Lytechinus pictus: one gene and its partner. Each later gene encodes a partner of the first gene's protein in a complex. Links are inferred from orthologs where the notes say so. Each region holds a gene or a part of one and is shown in the gene's direction. Other genes may lie near its edges.

Region 1 (7,651 bases):
GTCGGCAAAATCATGTACCAGTTGGCAAAATGGAGGATAGGGGAGAAAAAGAAAGAGGGAAAGAAAGGAAGAGAAAAAAGAAAGAAGGAGAGAGGGGGAGAGAAATAAAAAGAAAGAAAGAGAGAGAGAGGAGAGAGAGAGAGGGGGGGTGAGAGAGAGAAAGAAAGAAAGAAAGAAAGAAATAAAGAAAGAAAGAAAGAAAGAAAAAAAAAGGAAAGAAAAATAGGGGTACTAACTTCGAAGAAGGTTACGACTTTGACAACCAGTTGGCAAATCCAAGTCCATGTAGCCAGGCTTAGAGCCCTACTAGTCAGCAAAATACAAAGGACAAAACAGATGGAGCTATAATAACACACAAAGTAAGCCCCCCGGTCCTTCCCCAATATAAACAAGCTTGTGAGTTTGCAAATTATACCACAATTATTGACGATTTAACAAACACATTAGTTTTGTAAAATTAGAGGCAAGACTAGGTACATAAATATGGAGTGGGGTGAATTTTCAAGGTATAAGTTAAATAATCAAAGCCAAAGAATAGTTGGCAAATAATAAAGTGGGCCTATTAAAGTGGCAGAACACTATACGCTCTACCAGTCAGCAAAGTGATGTACAAGTACTGCCCCGTTTCTCTGAAAAGAACAGAACACAAGACTTAAAAACTGGTAACTCTGCAGTTGGCAAATTCATGAAGACAAGTCTACAACTTGTAAACTTGTCTACAAGTTTGCAGTTAGCAAAAAACACAAAAATGTTCTAAGTTATTTTTACTAAATTCTGTCGCCGAAGAATTTTGTTTAATTTATGGTGTCAGAATGTGCTTGGGGTGGGGATGGGTGGGAGTGGGGGCAGGTTTGGGTTGCATCATTCCTGGTGCTCGCATTGTATGACTAATGAGATATATAGTCCTGTTGTATTTTAAGTCCATAAAGATTATGCATCAAATTATCTCCTCGCACTTCAAGTTATTATTGTTTTATGTACTTATGCCTTTTTCATGACTATATACTTAGTGATTGCCCCCTTTTAAGGCCATAATAAAACATTTCCAGTCTGTGCTTACCTTCGCATTGGTGTGGACCGATATAGATACCGGGCTGGTAGTGGTGTTAAATCAACACTGGCGTTTTTGCAGTAGACGAATTCCTAAAGACAGTCCTTAAAATGTCCCTTTTTCTGATCTAATTATAACAAATTTTCAGCTCGCGCTTCGCGCTCGCATCACTTAATTAGTGAAATAGTAAATTCCTACAAACAAGCCATAGAATGCCCCTCTTCAGGTCCGAATTTCAAAAATTGTCAGTTCGCGCTTCTCGCCCGCAATATTTCATTAGTGAAATACGTATCATGTTCATGATTACAATGACCACAAAAAGTGCTTCATGTACCAGTGTAATTCTAACAAAATCAGCAAGCGCTTGGCGCTCGCATTAGATGACTATGATGAGATACGTACGCACTTCATAAATTGCAAAAGATCACTCCCGCATATCGAAAACTTGCATACAGTGTAGCGGACATGTAAAAACATAGCAGACGACGTTTGCAGACCTCGCGATCATCGTATGACTAGCGGTGCAGAATGTTCCATTGTGGCTTTATGGGGGAGATAGCATTACAGAGGGATAAAATGTATACACAAATAATGTTTCAGCGTTGATTCACAATATTTTGTGTCGATTTCATAAATTATTGTTGTTTGAACATTTAAAACATAATTATAAAGTGAAAGGAATAAGCACAACTTAATTTTCAGACTTACCTATGCAGTGGTAAGCTAGGATGCACCCCTCGTATACATAATTGACCCGTCACAGTTTTCAGAGACATATCCAACTTTGATTTTTGTTGGCAAAAATAACGGTATCTGATATATTTATATCTATAGTTCGGACTGACAATGTATATATATTTATACATACCTAATAAAATGTTCAGCACTGCAATGGAAAGAGCTAGAAAACCGCTGTGACTCGAACAACACACCGACGTACACAAAAACTCTGTCCAGCCCTATATGTTGAATGCACGTCGAGTGTAGGATTGCTCTTCGGACATCACTATCACAAAGAAAATCTCCTCTGATTTGATGATAAAAGTGCACTATTTCCTTATTAACCAATCTCCGTGGTTCTTTAATGAGTATTTGCCTTACAATGTGCCCTTTATTATCATCTGGGCGGAAATTCTTGATACCATCACCCACCGATGTGACGACGGATATAATCCACCCGGGTACTATAAAAATGTCCCCCAAACCCATTATCCCAATACATATTCCTGACTATGGATGGTTTTGAGTGATTTTAATGTAATAAAGTGCCACATTTCCCACCAATTGAATTTAAAAAAAATTATGGTCATCTAATAGAAGAAGTTGTTAACATTCATATCAGGGGGGCGGAAATTCTATATGAATCAACACTTGTCCTTGATACACATTTGTTTGTGAAAAAAGGGTATGATGCAAGGGAATTCTGCGTGTTATAAGGGTGCGCGCGTGCAGCGAGGACCTTCTGTCCGCTAGTTTTCCATATAGTCCTTAAAATGTCCCTTTTTAGGTTTAAGTTATACCAAAAATTTCAGCTCGCGCTTCGCGCTAGCATTGTTTGTTTTGTGAGACAGGTACATATCGTGATTACAAAACTTTACTTATAATGTCCCTTTTTAGGACTGAATATCAAACATTTTCAGCTCGCGCTTCGCACTCGCATTATTTGATCACTAAGATACGTATCCGTTTTATGGCACAGTCCTTAAAATGTCTCTATTAGGTCAGTATACCTGGCAATTGAGCGCGCTTCGCGCGCCCACTTAATGAATCAAATTTTTTGCTGGTGCCGCCCCCAATGCCGTGACCCACGGTACGCCACTGTTAGCAGTAGCACTCTTGAAATTTTAGTTGAGACATCTTGCACAGAAGGTCAATTAAAAATTAACAAATCTTTGATTTTGATATTATTAATGCATATAGGGCATTATACTGCAAGTTAGCAACTACGGCACACTAGCCTTTCTATTTTGATCCAAAATGTTTATTTTTGCAGTGCAAATATCTTTGTATATCTTTGTATAATTTACCTTAAAGTATTCACCAAATGCCACTAATTCAATTCTAAAAATTCAAAATCTTTTAGCATGTGATTATTGTGGGGGGGGGGGGCACATCCCCCATCAGACTCCCCCTGTGCTCACGTTGGCGCTGTCACGCCAAATTTAGTTGGCAAATTTAGCTGGTACACCCCCCCCCCCCCAACAAAATGCTTCTGGCTACGGCCCTGCTGGGCGTTGTGGCGTGCGCTTGTAATCCAAGCTATGTGGGGAAGTTATAAATTGATGCAGAGGTTCGAGGTTCGAGGTTCGAGCCCTGGTCACGTCTTTCGGATGGTGACGTTAAAGGTCGGTCCCAGACGTAAATAATCATATCTGATTGATACACGTCTGACAAAACTCAAATACACATGCACACGATGACTGGGGTCAGATCAGTGTCATACTGTGGGTCATGGCATGGGGCGGGCACGATCGAACAATTAACAAAAAAAAAATCGCTTCAAAATTACAGTAAAATTTTAGCCCACCAACCTGATTTCCAGAGGGTGCTTCCTCAGGTGTATAAAGGCCACCGCACACCTTACGACTGTTCGCGATCCGATTTTGGAACAAATCGCATTTTGCTCATTTTCTGAAAATGTGAATGGAACATATCATTATATTTGAGGTTAAAATTAATTGAAAGAATACTAATATAACCATTTTGAAAGATTTCAAGCCTTTATTTTGGAGTAAAGGCCAAATAAGTTTCAAATCGTAGCCAATCGTACGACTGCTATGACGTCATGACGACTAGATATTAAATTTGCTTTTGTTATAAGAAGAATGATAGCATAGTCACATATTTGGATATAGGTATTCGTACGATGATTTCGGACATTACACAGTAAGATATTCCAAGTCTCAATATTAGCATCAAATTCTACTACGTTTTATTTCAAAACTGAGTCGCAGACCAATCGTAAGGTGTGCGGTCGCCTTAACATATACCAGGAAGCTCCTTGCATATATACGCAGCAAAAAAATCTTCCCTGTCTCTTTCGGGGGCGTTTCATGAAGGGACTTGTCGGACGTTTTATCCGACAAGTTCCATTTTATCCGACAGTTACCATAGGAACAGTATCTCTCAGCCAATCAAAATCATGGAAAGATGTCAGATCTGAGAACTTGTCGGATGAAAATATTGATGAAACGCTCGATCCCCTGGTTCTCCCAAAACAAGATTTTCCGACACGATTTCATTGTTGAATATTCATGAGTTGATGCTATTGACCGGGATGCGACCGGGATTATTGATTGGCTGAAAGGAGTTAAAGGGCCAAGTGTGCATACGATTTAGGTTATTCATTACTATTAGTCCGCGGGATGCCACTTTCTCGAGGTTAAATTCTCTATTTGGGAAATTAATCCGAATTTTATATTAAAAATTCTTTATCATATGGAATTAGGATTACACAGATAGCTTAAAATTTTCATCTTGTTGTTATTCATAATAAATCTATGAGAAAAGTTCTAACTAGTTGTTTCGAGCGCGGACTGATATTGAATAATCTATGCGCAAACAGTTTCCCGCCCTTTTTAGCTTGTGATCAATTTTGCGTTGCGGGTGAACGAACCCAAATTCACTGTAGTCCCACATGCGCAATTTTGTTGCTAGGCCGATTTCATGGTGATTATCATCGCTCAACAAGGAGGTAGAATACTCGCAATTTGTTTATGAATTTATCCCAGTTTTACCATACATTAAATGAATAATGACGGACTCGCCAGAGGAGATCATTTTGACGACAAAAGACCGATTCGAAGAATTATGTATGAGTTTAAATTTGGACGACGCCACGAAGAAAACGGCTTGGGAATCATACGAGAGGATATGCGAAAATTACACGCTAGAGGTCAGTGTTTCATCAGTCATGTCAGTTGTTATTTTTGTTTTGTGTGTGTCGATATATGCGACAAAACAAATCAATTGCTTCCGACGTTCCCATTCCAGCTTAGTCCCACCAATAATAATGTTTTGCAATTTGCATGTCTCTAGCAAAAATACCGCAAAATAATAATAGGCAATAGCCAAAGCAAAATATTTTAGTTGTTTTTCAATTCTACTACTAGGCTTGACTTGAGTTAGAACTAGGCCTAGAACTAGAAGTCTACAAAAAAGTACAATGGTCTAACACTTAACAGTAACACTAACAACATGTTAACTTTGTTAGACTTAGACTCGATGACTGTTTTTGTTTGTGAGACTTTTAAATGCAATTATTGTTTGATTGTCAAATACCAAAAGGCCAAGTTATTTTGTTTAATGCTAACGTTACATTCATTAGATTGTTTTTCCATTCTAATTCTGCCAAGATGCTACTGTTTTAAGATGCAACAGCCAACACCACTATGTCCTCCAGCATCAACTCATTTAAACACGGATTAGTTTCTTTTGGTCAAGCCAACATTTTTAAATTGTCTGACATCCACGCCCGCACTGTACTTTTTTAAACTTTTAATTATGCATCAAGTGTTTACAACCGGGAGATCTACAGGATCAGGAATACCTACCCTCCCGTACAGATGATGTTTTTGTTTGTGAGAATGTTGTTCTACCTATGGCTATGTTACTTATGTAAAATGGTTGACTGACATTGATAAATCCGCTGTTTCGGATGATTTTTTCAACATTTTCTTTTTCTTTTGTCCTATTGACGGAGGGGATGCCGAGGAGCCAGACGAAGTGTCAGCAGAGCATATCCCTGACAGAAATGGGTCTATTAAACGTTTGACCTAGTACCTATTTATCGGTCTAGTTAAATCAAATGAAATGGCAACATTGATGTCATTGTGTGGACTATTGATTATCAAATAGATCTACATGTAGACAATAATGAATTATTATTTTTATTTTATTTCTAACACTTGTAGTGGTAGATCAAGACTAACCTGGAAGATATTTGCAAGTAACTTGCAAATATGCAACTTATTTGCAAAAACTGAAGAAAAAACGGAACCTAATTTATTTTTGTAATTATGATATACTGACCATAACTTATAATTTCAATTATTTTGTGAATGTGAAAAAAGAAAATATTTTGGACAGGATATGCTCTTCTGACTGAGACTCTGCCTGGCTTCATGGTAGGAGAACTGAAAAAAATAGAAGATTTCAAAAACTCTTTCGAAACAGCAGATTTTTCAGTAAATGTATGCTGTGTTTGCTGAAGACCTAATTTTAACGTTAGTGTCTGATATTTTTTGGAAAAACTAACGTCAAAGTCAGACCAAAGGTTTTAGTCTGTCTGGAATTTTTATAGCCTAAAAATATCTTTTTCCAAGTATCAATGACAAATGTTTCGTTTTTTATCAAGTATAGAATTGCAAAAAAATCAGATTTGAATGGTGATAATTGAGCCCAGTTCATGAGTATACTTTTGAAATTTGTACAATTTTCTTAGGAATATTTGCTCTATTTGTGCTGCTATTTTCCCCCTGGATTCTCTCCTACAATTTGAGTCAATAATGTTCCTGGTCTGTAAATTGTGATTTTGTCTAATAAAAAAAATGTTTACAAATAAGTTAGTTGTTACTAAAAAAAAAGACAATATTTGTCTTAGAACTATTTTCTGTCATCCATGTTTTAAAATTTTACTGAAGACATGTTTATCATAAATGACTGAGAATGATGGTCTAATATTAAAGAGGGGATATTTTTCATGTTCAAACATTGATAATGAGAAGAAAAGAAGATCTGAAAAATTGATGAATTGTCCTCATGGGGCACCTATAGGCCTACAGCTATACTGGCAGGTGATTTCATATTTTAATGTCATTACTTCATATTCTTTGGTGTTTTTTAATTATTATTTTATTTTTAGAACTTTGTTTTTCTCCTTTTACAATGATATCTACTCATGTGATTTTTACCTAATAATAAGTGAGTTAAATTGATTGAGTCTGCTTTTAAGAAAACCAACATGATAGTTGGATGAAGTCCAGTGGACGTCATGGACCTGGACATGGAGGAAGCTATCTATGTAAATTTACTGGGGGTGCCGTGGCAATGCTCAGCACCCCCAGTAACAACAGAATAATCCTCCGTGGACAGGGCCCTGGTGGACTTCCTCTTCAATATACATTTGGGCACACATTTGGCTTGCCATAGTCCAGTCGTTAATTTAACGTCCTATGTAACCTTACAAACATCTTCAGGGATCATTGTATTTTCATTCCGAATTCAAATTTATTTCTGTTACAGGGAGATAAAATCCAATGGCTTTCCTGTGCCTTGTATGTAGCATGCAGACGTAGTGTAGTACCGACTGTAAGCAATGGTACAATAGAGGGCAATGGCGTGTCTCTAACTCAACTGCTTCGCTCTGCCAAACTGAGGTAAGATGCTCTTCTAAATTCTCTAATCATCATGTCTTGTGCTGTCAGTTAAGATTCAGTATTGGTGTAAACTACATTGTACCCCCAACAAAATGGGGAAGAAAATTATATAAAAATCTGCATGTATATGTTGGAAAATAAAAAAGAGGATTACTAGGTAATAAAGTAATACACATGTATATGTTCCATTTTTAACTAGGGTTCGACTTTAATTATTTTTGAA
Region 2 (7,833 bases), on another chromosome or scaffold:
GCAATCAAATATATCAATGTATTTAAAAATATATATCCGCGGTAGTTTAACCTTGTAAATATTTTGTATATAAAGTAAGAATGAAACGAATTCCATAGTTTTCCGAGATTCATTTTAGATAATCAGTTTAAAGTAATCAAATAAGGCATGATCAAGAACGAGTTATATTAAAACCTGTGTCCTGGAATGCAATATAAAGTGACCGAAAAACATATTTCCTATACCCTATTGGTATACGACATGCACACTTAATTGTATCAATCAATGCTCGAGTCGGTCGTTTATTGGAACCAGTAATGTGAATTGTAATAAAAACATGTCATTTTGTGTGTTGAAAAAAAAATAACGCAAACAACTTTTTTGAAAGAACCGAAAATTTGCAAAATTACGTATACTTTATTTTTTGGCAATATGTCTTGGATGTGAATTTCTTATGGCAAGTTTACTGTAAATTCGTCGGTAATATGAATTATCTCTTTTAATATGGTTCATACACGAAAAATAAAACCTCATTATTAATTGAGAAATAAAAATTCGCCTGTTCGCAAAAAAATTAAAAAACAGATAAAATTCTTCTTTTGTCTTTTTCTCACCCGGGAAGCATGATATCTTCCATTTTTGGGACACAAGAAAGGAAGGAAGATCGAAACCTAAAATTACGATTTCTTGTTAATGTTCTGAAGAATATTTTTACACTATGGTACATTAACATGTTAACGTTGATTAAGATAAGAGTTCCACACTTACCAGATATATAGGTACCTTAAACAAGTCGATGAACTGATGAAGATGAGCAGTTCTTGCGTGCTTTCCCTTTGATGCTGCCTGGGATCACACACGATCCTCAAGCAATACCAGCTGTATTTATCTGGGATTACTTGTACTGGAGGGAGGGGGTGCTTACCTCGAATATATAACACAATATCAATGTGGCAGATCTGGAACATTTTGGTTGCTGTATATTGTCGATACACATTATAACACGTGATCGAAGAGATCGATTTTAACCGACAGCGCATGAGTTCGAATTAACAATACCAATGTTCCAGATCTTGTCGAAAGATTGTGTAAGTGCATGGTGTTTACAAGAAAAACAAATGAAAACTTTGTATTTGATAAAGAGCGTCGAATTTCGAACATTTGAAGGAGGAGCGGGTACATTATTTTGCAGATGTTTATATATATTTGAAATAATAAAAAGAAAGCAGTAAGAATTATACACAGCATGAAGTAAATAATGTAAAAACTTTGTTTTATTTTTATTTTTTATAGGGGTACGTGCTGGTTTGGAAGAAAAATTTGACAACCCCTCCCCCCCCCAAAAAAAAAAGTTTCACAATAAAATGTGGGTGATTCTGGTTAGGTTTCGATCTTTTTACCTACCAGATTCCAAGGAGTGCTCTGTCTATGGAGCAAAACACACACACACCACCCTCCAAACAAATCTTGGGGGTTAATACCCCAGCACCCCCGCTTCCACAGCAAGGGCCATAATTTCAAGCCTCTCAAGAAAAACACGAGAAAGGTGATTCTATAACCTTCAAAAATACACCGGATGGTTAGTACTGATGATGATGATCAGTGGTAATGAGGGGCCAGACATGACATAAGGGGCGAAATTTAAAGAAACGAATGCGAGCGAGCGAAACAAGCACTGCATAAAAAAGATGATGGTGGTGAATATAATAATGATGGTGGTGGTGGTGGTGACGATGATGATTATGATGATGATGATGAAGATCACAAACTTCAGGCTTGATGTACAAAATTTAAATTGCCAGCCCCGTGTCCCCCGCCCCTATCCCCGGGATTTTTGCCCATGCCGATCACATCCCATAAGTTATTAGTGAAACTGCAATCCACGAGCAAGCTAGCCAGGGCCCCGTCTTACAAATAGCATGTTTAAACAAAATATTTCCTAAATGTGATGTGAAATCATACATTCATTGTTTTCTTGAAAATTCAGTGAGCTTTTCTTTGTTTACAAAGACATCATGCAAATTTCCTGAGAAAAAAAAGACATATTGTTGGATTTCCATGTATTGAGATGATCAATCAATCGTAAATCTTTGTAAGACAGGGCCCTGGTCGATAGAAGATAAACAAAACGAACTGTGTAGAATGAGTTTTACTTCAAATGCATATTATGCAGTCTGGTTATTATCTTTCATATTTTTTTTGGGCTTGGTTAATCCAAATGGATGTTGATTGGCATATAGTCAACGGCTCATGAAGTTTTTTGAAAGAACTTCATTAAAAACATAAAAAAAACTTTCTGAATACATAGTCAGTATATTCTGGGAGGTGTCTTTCTGCGTTGGTGATATCACCACCACCAACAACAACAACAAATGCAGTATCGCCAACATTACCAACACCATCACCATGCACCACGTTGTCACGACCTCATCAACACCACCATCGCCGCCACCACCACAACCATACACCGCCACAAACATACCACCAAAATCCCCACCAACAATAAAACAAAATAACAACTGTATCGCTATATACCACTACAACCACCATCATCATCAACCCCAATGATATCAGTGTAAGCGAAAAGCAACTCTGATGATATTTTGCATGAGGTGCGATTATAATGATGGCGATTAATTGTGTACAATAAAATAGTCATGTACAGCAACAACAATGTTATACTACTATACTACTACTACTACTACTACTATTCTACTATTACTACTCCTATACTACTACTACTATTACTACGTACTACTACTACCACTACTACTACTACTACTACTACTACTACTATACTACTACTACTACTACTACTACTACTACTATACTACTACTACTAATAATAATAATATACTATACTACTACTACTACTACTACTACTACTACTACTACTACTACTATACTTCTACAGCAGCAGCAAACAGTTTGTACGATAGTGATTGTTAATTACATCGATATAACTGAAATGATTGACAGCATTTTAGATCTAATACTTTTCTGAAAACATGATGTTGGGTTCATTTTTGCAACGTTCATATATGATGCATATATTTGCACATTTAATGTCTACACCGGGATCGCTCAATTTGCACTTTACATTTACACGACAAATAATGCGAATGATCAGAATTTACTCAGCTTCTCCAATTCCACGTGTTTGACTTTTAATGACAACAGAAGATCTTGATTAATATTTACAAAATATAACAAACTACTTCGTACATTTTAATTAAAAAGAAATAACATGCACTTCGGACTTTTTGGGGGGGTTGATACTGGTTTTGGCGTCGCAGCCATATTCTCGAGAATAATTATTGACATTATGCCGACTAACGTCACTTCACAAAAAGTCTTATTGCAATAAAAAAAAGATGAAGCAGGAGAAGATTGAAGAAGAAAATAAACTAATATATATGTGACAGTACCCGCCCCCTCCCAGAATACCGATTGTGTTCGAAGCATATGGGTATCACTGTCACAAATATTTGTTTCCGTCTATCCGCTTAGTCTCCGAGAACTATAATCAAGAAAATTACGATGAAAAAATGGTGGTCAATGATGATACCAGATACCATCCATCATGATGTTCTTAATATAGTCTACCCCCTCATTATCACACGATCATCCTTGTCATATGATTATATAATAATCATTATAATGTTCTTCCATATGGGACTGGGTGCATGGGGGGGGGGGGGGGCGGGGTGTATCACCATGCCACCCACCTCTGGGATCTACAACACTCAGCACGGGACAAGATCTTGTTGCCTTAAATTCTATGTGACTGAGAGGGCATAAAGGATCTGGGTCCCGTTGTTAAAGGGATGGTCCAGGCTGAAAATCTTTATGCAAAATGCTGAAAATTTCATCAAAACCGGAAAACAAAATCTAATAACGAAGTTATTGAATTTTAAAGTTTATCAATATTTTGTGAAAACAGTTATATGCACATCGTCATGAATATTCATTAGGTGGGCTGATGATGTCACATCCATATCACACTTTCCTTTTTTTTCTTATGTTATTACATGAAATGTATTTTTTTTTTCTTCATATTTTCATGATGTGTCTCCATTATGATGAAATGTGTTGAGGAAAAACAAATAACTAATGCACTTAATCAGTTGTCTATCCAATTGTTTTAGTTCTTGGTAGAGAAATTTTGAATAAACCTAATTTCATATAATAAAATACAAAAGAACAAGTGGGGATATGACATCATCAGCCCACCGAAATATAAATATTCATAAAGACATGCCTAGAACAGCATATAATAATGCAAATCTTTAAAATTCAATAGCTTTGTTATTTGTTATCCGATTTTGATCAAATTGTCAGCATTTTGCTTTGTGAATTTTACTCTATTCATTGAGGTATAAATATTTCCAGCCTGGACCATCCCTTTAAAGTTACTGATATGGTAACTTTTCCATCCACTGCAATGGTAGCAAGTCTCAAGCTCAATAGCCAATCAAAATCAAGGATTCCATGACAGATACCATATGATTGGGTGGCACATTACTCATATAGATGATTTTACCGGGGGAAAATAAAAGGCCAACTAGTTTTTTGTTTTTTTTAATTCCCGCCTTAATGTCAATCCACCGCCCGCCCCCCCCCCCCCATCCACCTTTGTCGGTATCAGTCCGATTCAGCCGGTTCAAACAGATTTTGTACTTCGATCGTTACTTTTTCAGTATCTTTATTTTTACTTGTAAAGTAATATTAAGGTTAATATGAAAGAATGATCTAAACTTTGAAAAATAATTGTTTCCCCTGGTCCTGGATTATTCTTATTTCGCATCAGTTCGATAATCCGTCGATTTCTGTCTCTGGCCCTCTATTGACACTTCCGTGTCCATTCCGCGCGACATTTTTGCATGTTTGGCGGGGAGGAAATCTATTGTTCTTGGCAGAAAACGTACATTGATTTTCATCTTTCCTGGTTTCTGTGACACTAAGAACACCCACAAGCATGGCTGAAAAGGACAATGGTGAGAATATTATGCTATTTTTATTTGTTTTCATTCATCAGATTTCTAAGATGAAGGATCGTAAATACAGGGCCATTCATTCTCACTCCAATTCAAAAACTACCTTTACCGTAACCCAGAGAGCTCCCGCCCGCAGCGGGCGGGAGCCCAGAAGCTTACCGTGTAATTTACCATTGTCACCGGACTAGGGTGATTTATGGTCTAAATATTTCTCCAAATGAATTGTGAAAACAGAAAGTATACAATTACCACGATTATATGGATGAAGGTCTAACGAGTGGCAGATTCCTGACATCTGGGCACAGTCTGGAACCTCAAAAAAACGAAAAGTTCTCTCCTTCTACCCCGTCTCGATCGGCCATTTTTGTTAAAAATCGTAACAAAATGGCCGATCGAGACTGGGTAGAAGGAGAGAACTTTTCGTTTTTTTGAGGTTCCAGACTGTGCCCAGATGTCAGGAATCTGCCACTCGTTAGACCTTCATCCATATAATCGTGGTAATTGTATACTTTCCGTTTTCACAAATCATTTGGAGAAATATTTAGACCATAAATCATCCTAGTCCGGTGACAATGGTAAAATACACGGTAAGCTTCTGGGCTCCCGCCCGCTGCGCGGGCGGGAGCTCTCTGGGTTACCTTTACCGGTACCAGCGCTGCGCTGCATGCATGCATGCAGGCGAAGGTTCACGATCACGTTTGGTTTACACATGTGACGACTGTCGCAGCTGTCGAAAGAAAGTGGCGAGACTACTCATCGAGGCCGAGGAGGCGTTCGGCGGCGGCGCGCGGTGAAGCTCAGCAGTAACACTAACAAGTTAGGCGCATGGCCAATAATATCGGAGACTGTCTCCCGTAGCCTTAGACAGCTGGCAGCCGTCTGTTTCGAGGAGTTTTTTAACATTTTTTTATTTTTTAAATTTCTCCTCATACACAGACAGCTCGCTATCTAACCCAGGGAACTCCCGCCCACGCAGCGGGCGGGAGCCCAGGGGCCCGTTTCTCAACACCGTCATAAGTCTAACTTCTTGACTAAATCGAAGATAGTGAGCTACTTGTCCGCTAACCGTTTCACGAAGCCCTCTTTGCCAAGATCGGGGACAACAACCTGACCAAATATTTATGACACCTCCGAACCTTTTATAGCTACTTTCTTAATGACGTAGTGGCATCACGTGTAGTCTTGAGGACGCAATGATGATGATTTTTAAAATAATGAAATATACTTCTTCATCATTGACGTCTTGACACTCTTCCCCCAGTCGCATAAGAGAAGGACCATAATAAAGATGGATTTCCCTCGGAAATCCATCTTTAGAAACAAAAATCACTTTAATTGTATTGATTTCATTAATTTTCACACCTTCCTACGCCTAATGCGTAGGAAGGTTTTAAAAATTATAACATGAAAGTGTGAAAAATTTAAGGTTTCTTACCTAACTGATGCTGAGTAAACCCCTCGATCCACATGTAAACAACGTAAGTACAATAGCGTCGACCCTTGAACCGCTTATGTATGACGTACTTCCGGCTAGCGATGCCGTTCTGATGAATAATTTATAGAAAAAAAATATTATTTCGCAAATGTTAAAATGTATCACGTAAATTAAAAATAATTGTCAGTTTCATACCAATTATTTTTAATTACGTGATAAATTTTAACATTTGCGAAATAATTTTTTTTCTATAAATTATTCATCAGAACGGCATCGCTAGCCAGAAGTACGTCATACATAAGCGGTTCAAGGGTCGACGCTATTGTACTTACGTTGTTTACATGTGGTTCGAGGGGTTTACTCAGCATCAGTTAGGTAAGAAACCTTAAATTTTTCACATTTTCATGTTATAATTTTTAAAACCTTCCTACGCATTAGGCGTAGGAAGGTGTGAAAATTAATGAAATCAATACAATTAAAGTGATTTTTGTTTCTAAAGATGGATTTCCGAGGGAAATCCATCTTTATTATGGTCCTTCTCTTATGCGACTGGGGGAAGAGTGTCAAGACGTCAATGATGAAGAAGTATATTTCATTATTTTAAAAATCATCATCATTGCGTCCTCAAGACTACATCACGTGGGTAGACTATGACATGCAAAATTGCCTCAAAATTTGAAAATTGTAATCTTACGTAATCATTCATAGAAGTTGAAATTACATTGCAAAACAGGTGTGATAGATCATTCAATAATAGTTGTAATGCACAGAAACTATAAAAACTGTTGGTAAAACGCAACAAAACCACTCATTTTGAAATAGTAAAATAATTGAATCGATAAAGATTCTACCACGGCAGGTCATCCATAACTGGACTCGTATTCGTCGTTTTCAAACTTATCAACATTTTTGATAAATACTATCTCTAATTTATGCAAAGAATTTGTCAAAATCGTGTGTTTCGGTGTGTAAAAATTTAAACATTTATGTTAAACTATATTTTGATGATGTTTGGAACCATAAATAAACGTATAATTATCATTATTTTACAAAGAAAACAATTGTGGTTTACTTTCGTAAACTATCAAAATTTACTATCCCGGGGATACCCATCTCAATGTCCCCATGTGATTTTTTAGTCATGAAATGAATTATTCATAATTTGATTTTCTCAGCAATTGAGTGCTCCAGTCTTCATGGTTTAAGTATGCATGGTTCATATTTTGCCTCTGCTATTATTTTTATTATATGTATTTCCAAATTAATCACAATAGTTGCAGTTTTATCATATTTTTGCTTTTCAAAAATTATGCTATTTTGTGACTAAGGCTACGTCTCGTCTGCTCTTTCAACCGATAGTATCGATATCAAGGGATTCTAGTTAGGAAGCCCTTCGTGAAACGGGTTTAGTAAGATTGGAAC

What was found. Proteins that work in one complex are often made in the same cells at the same time.
Region 2: retinoblastoma-like protein 1 (region 1) and histone-binding protein RBBP4 share a complex: the UniProt entries of both Caenorhabditis elegans proteins name them as parts of the DRM complex. The link is inferred for Lytechinus pictus from reciprocal best matches to the Caenorhabditis elegans genes lin-35 and lin-53.

What each region holds. Positions count from the first base shown.
Region 1 is NC_087246.1:64,992,918-65,000,568, reverse strand, and holds the start of retinoblastoma-like protein 1, read left to right. Parts: upstream 1-4,636; 5' UTR 4,637-4,805; coding exon 4,806-4,946; intron 4,947-7,294; coding exon 7,295-7,428; intron 7,429-7,651. UniProt on the Caenorhabditis elegans protein: Key regulator of cell division which acts as a transcriptional repressor and negatively regulates cell cycle progression in its active unphosphorylated form, but allows cell cycle progression when phosphorylated.
Region 2 is NC_087248.1:6,917,337-6,925,169, reverse strand, and holds the start of histone-binding protein RBBP4, read left to right. Parts: upstream 1-4,824; 5' UTR 4,825-4,957; coding exon 4,958-4,976; intron 4,977-7,833. UniProt on the Caenorhabditis elegans protein: Core histone-binding subunit that may target chromatin assembly factors, chromatin remodeling factors and histone deacetylases to their histone substrates in a manner that is regulated by nucleosomal DNA.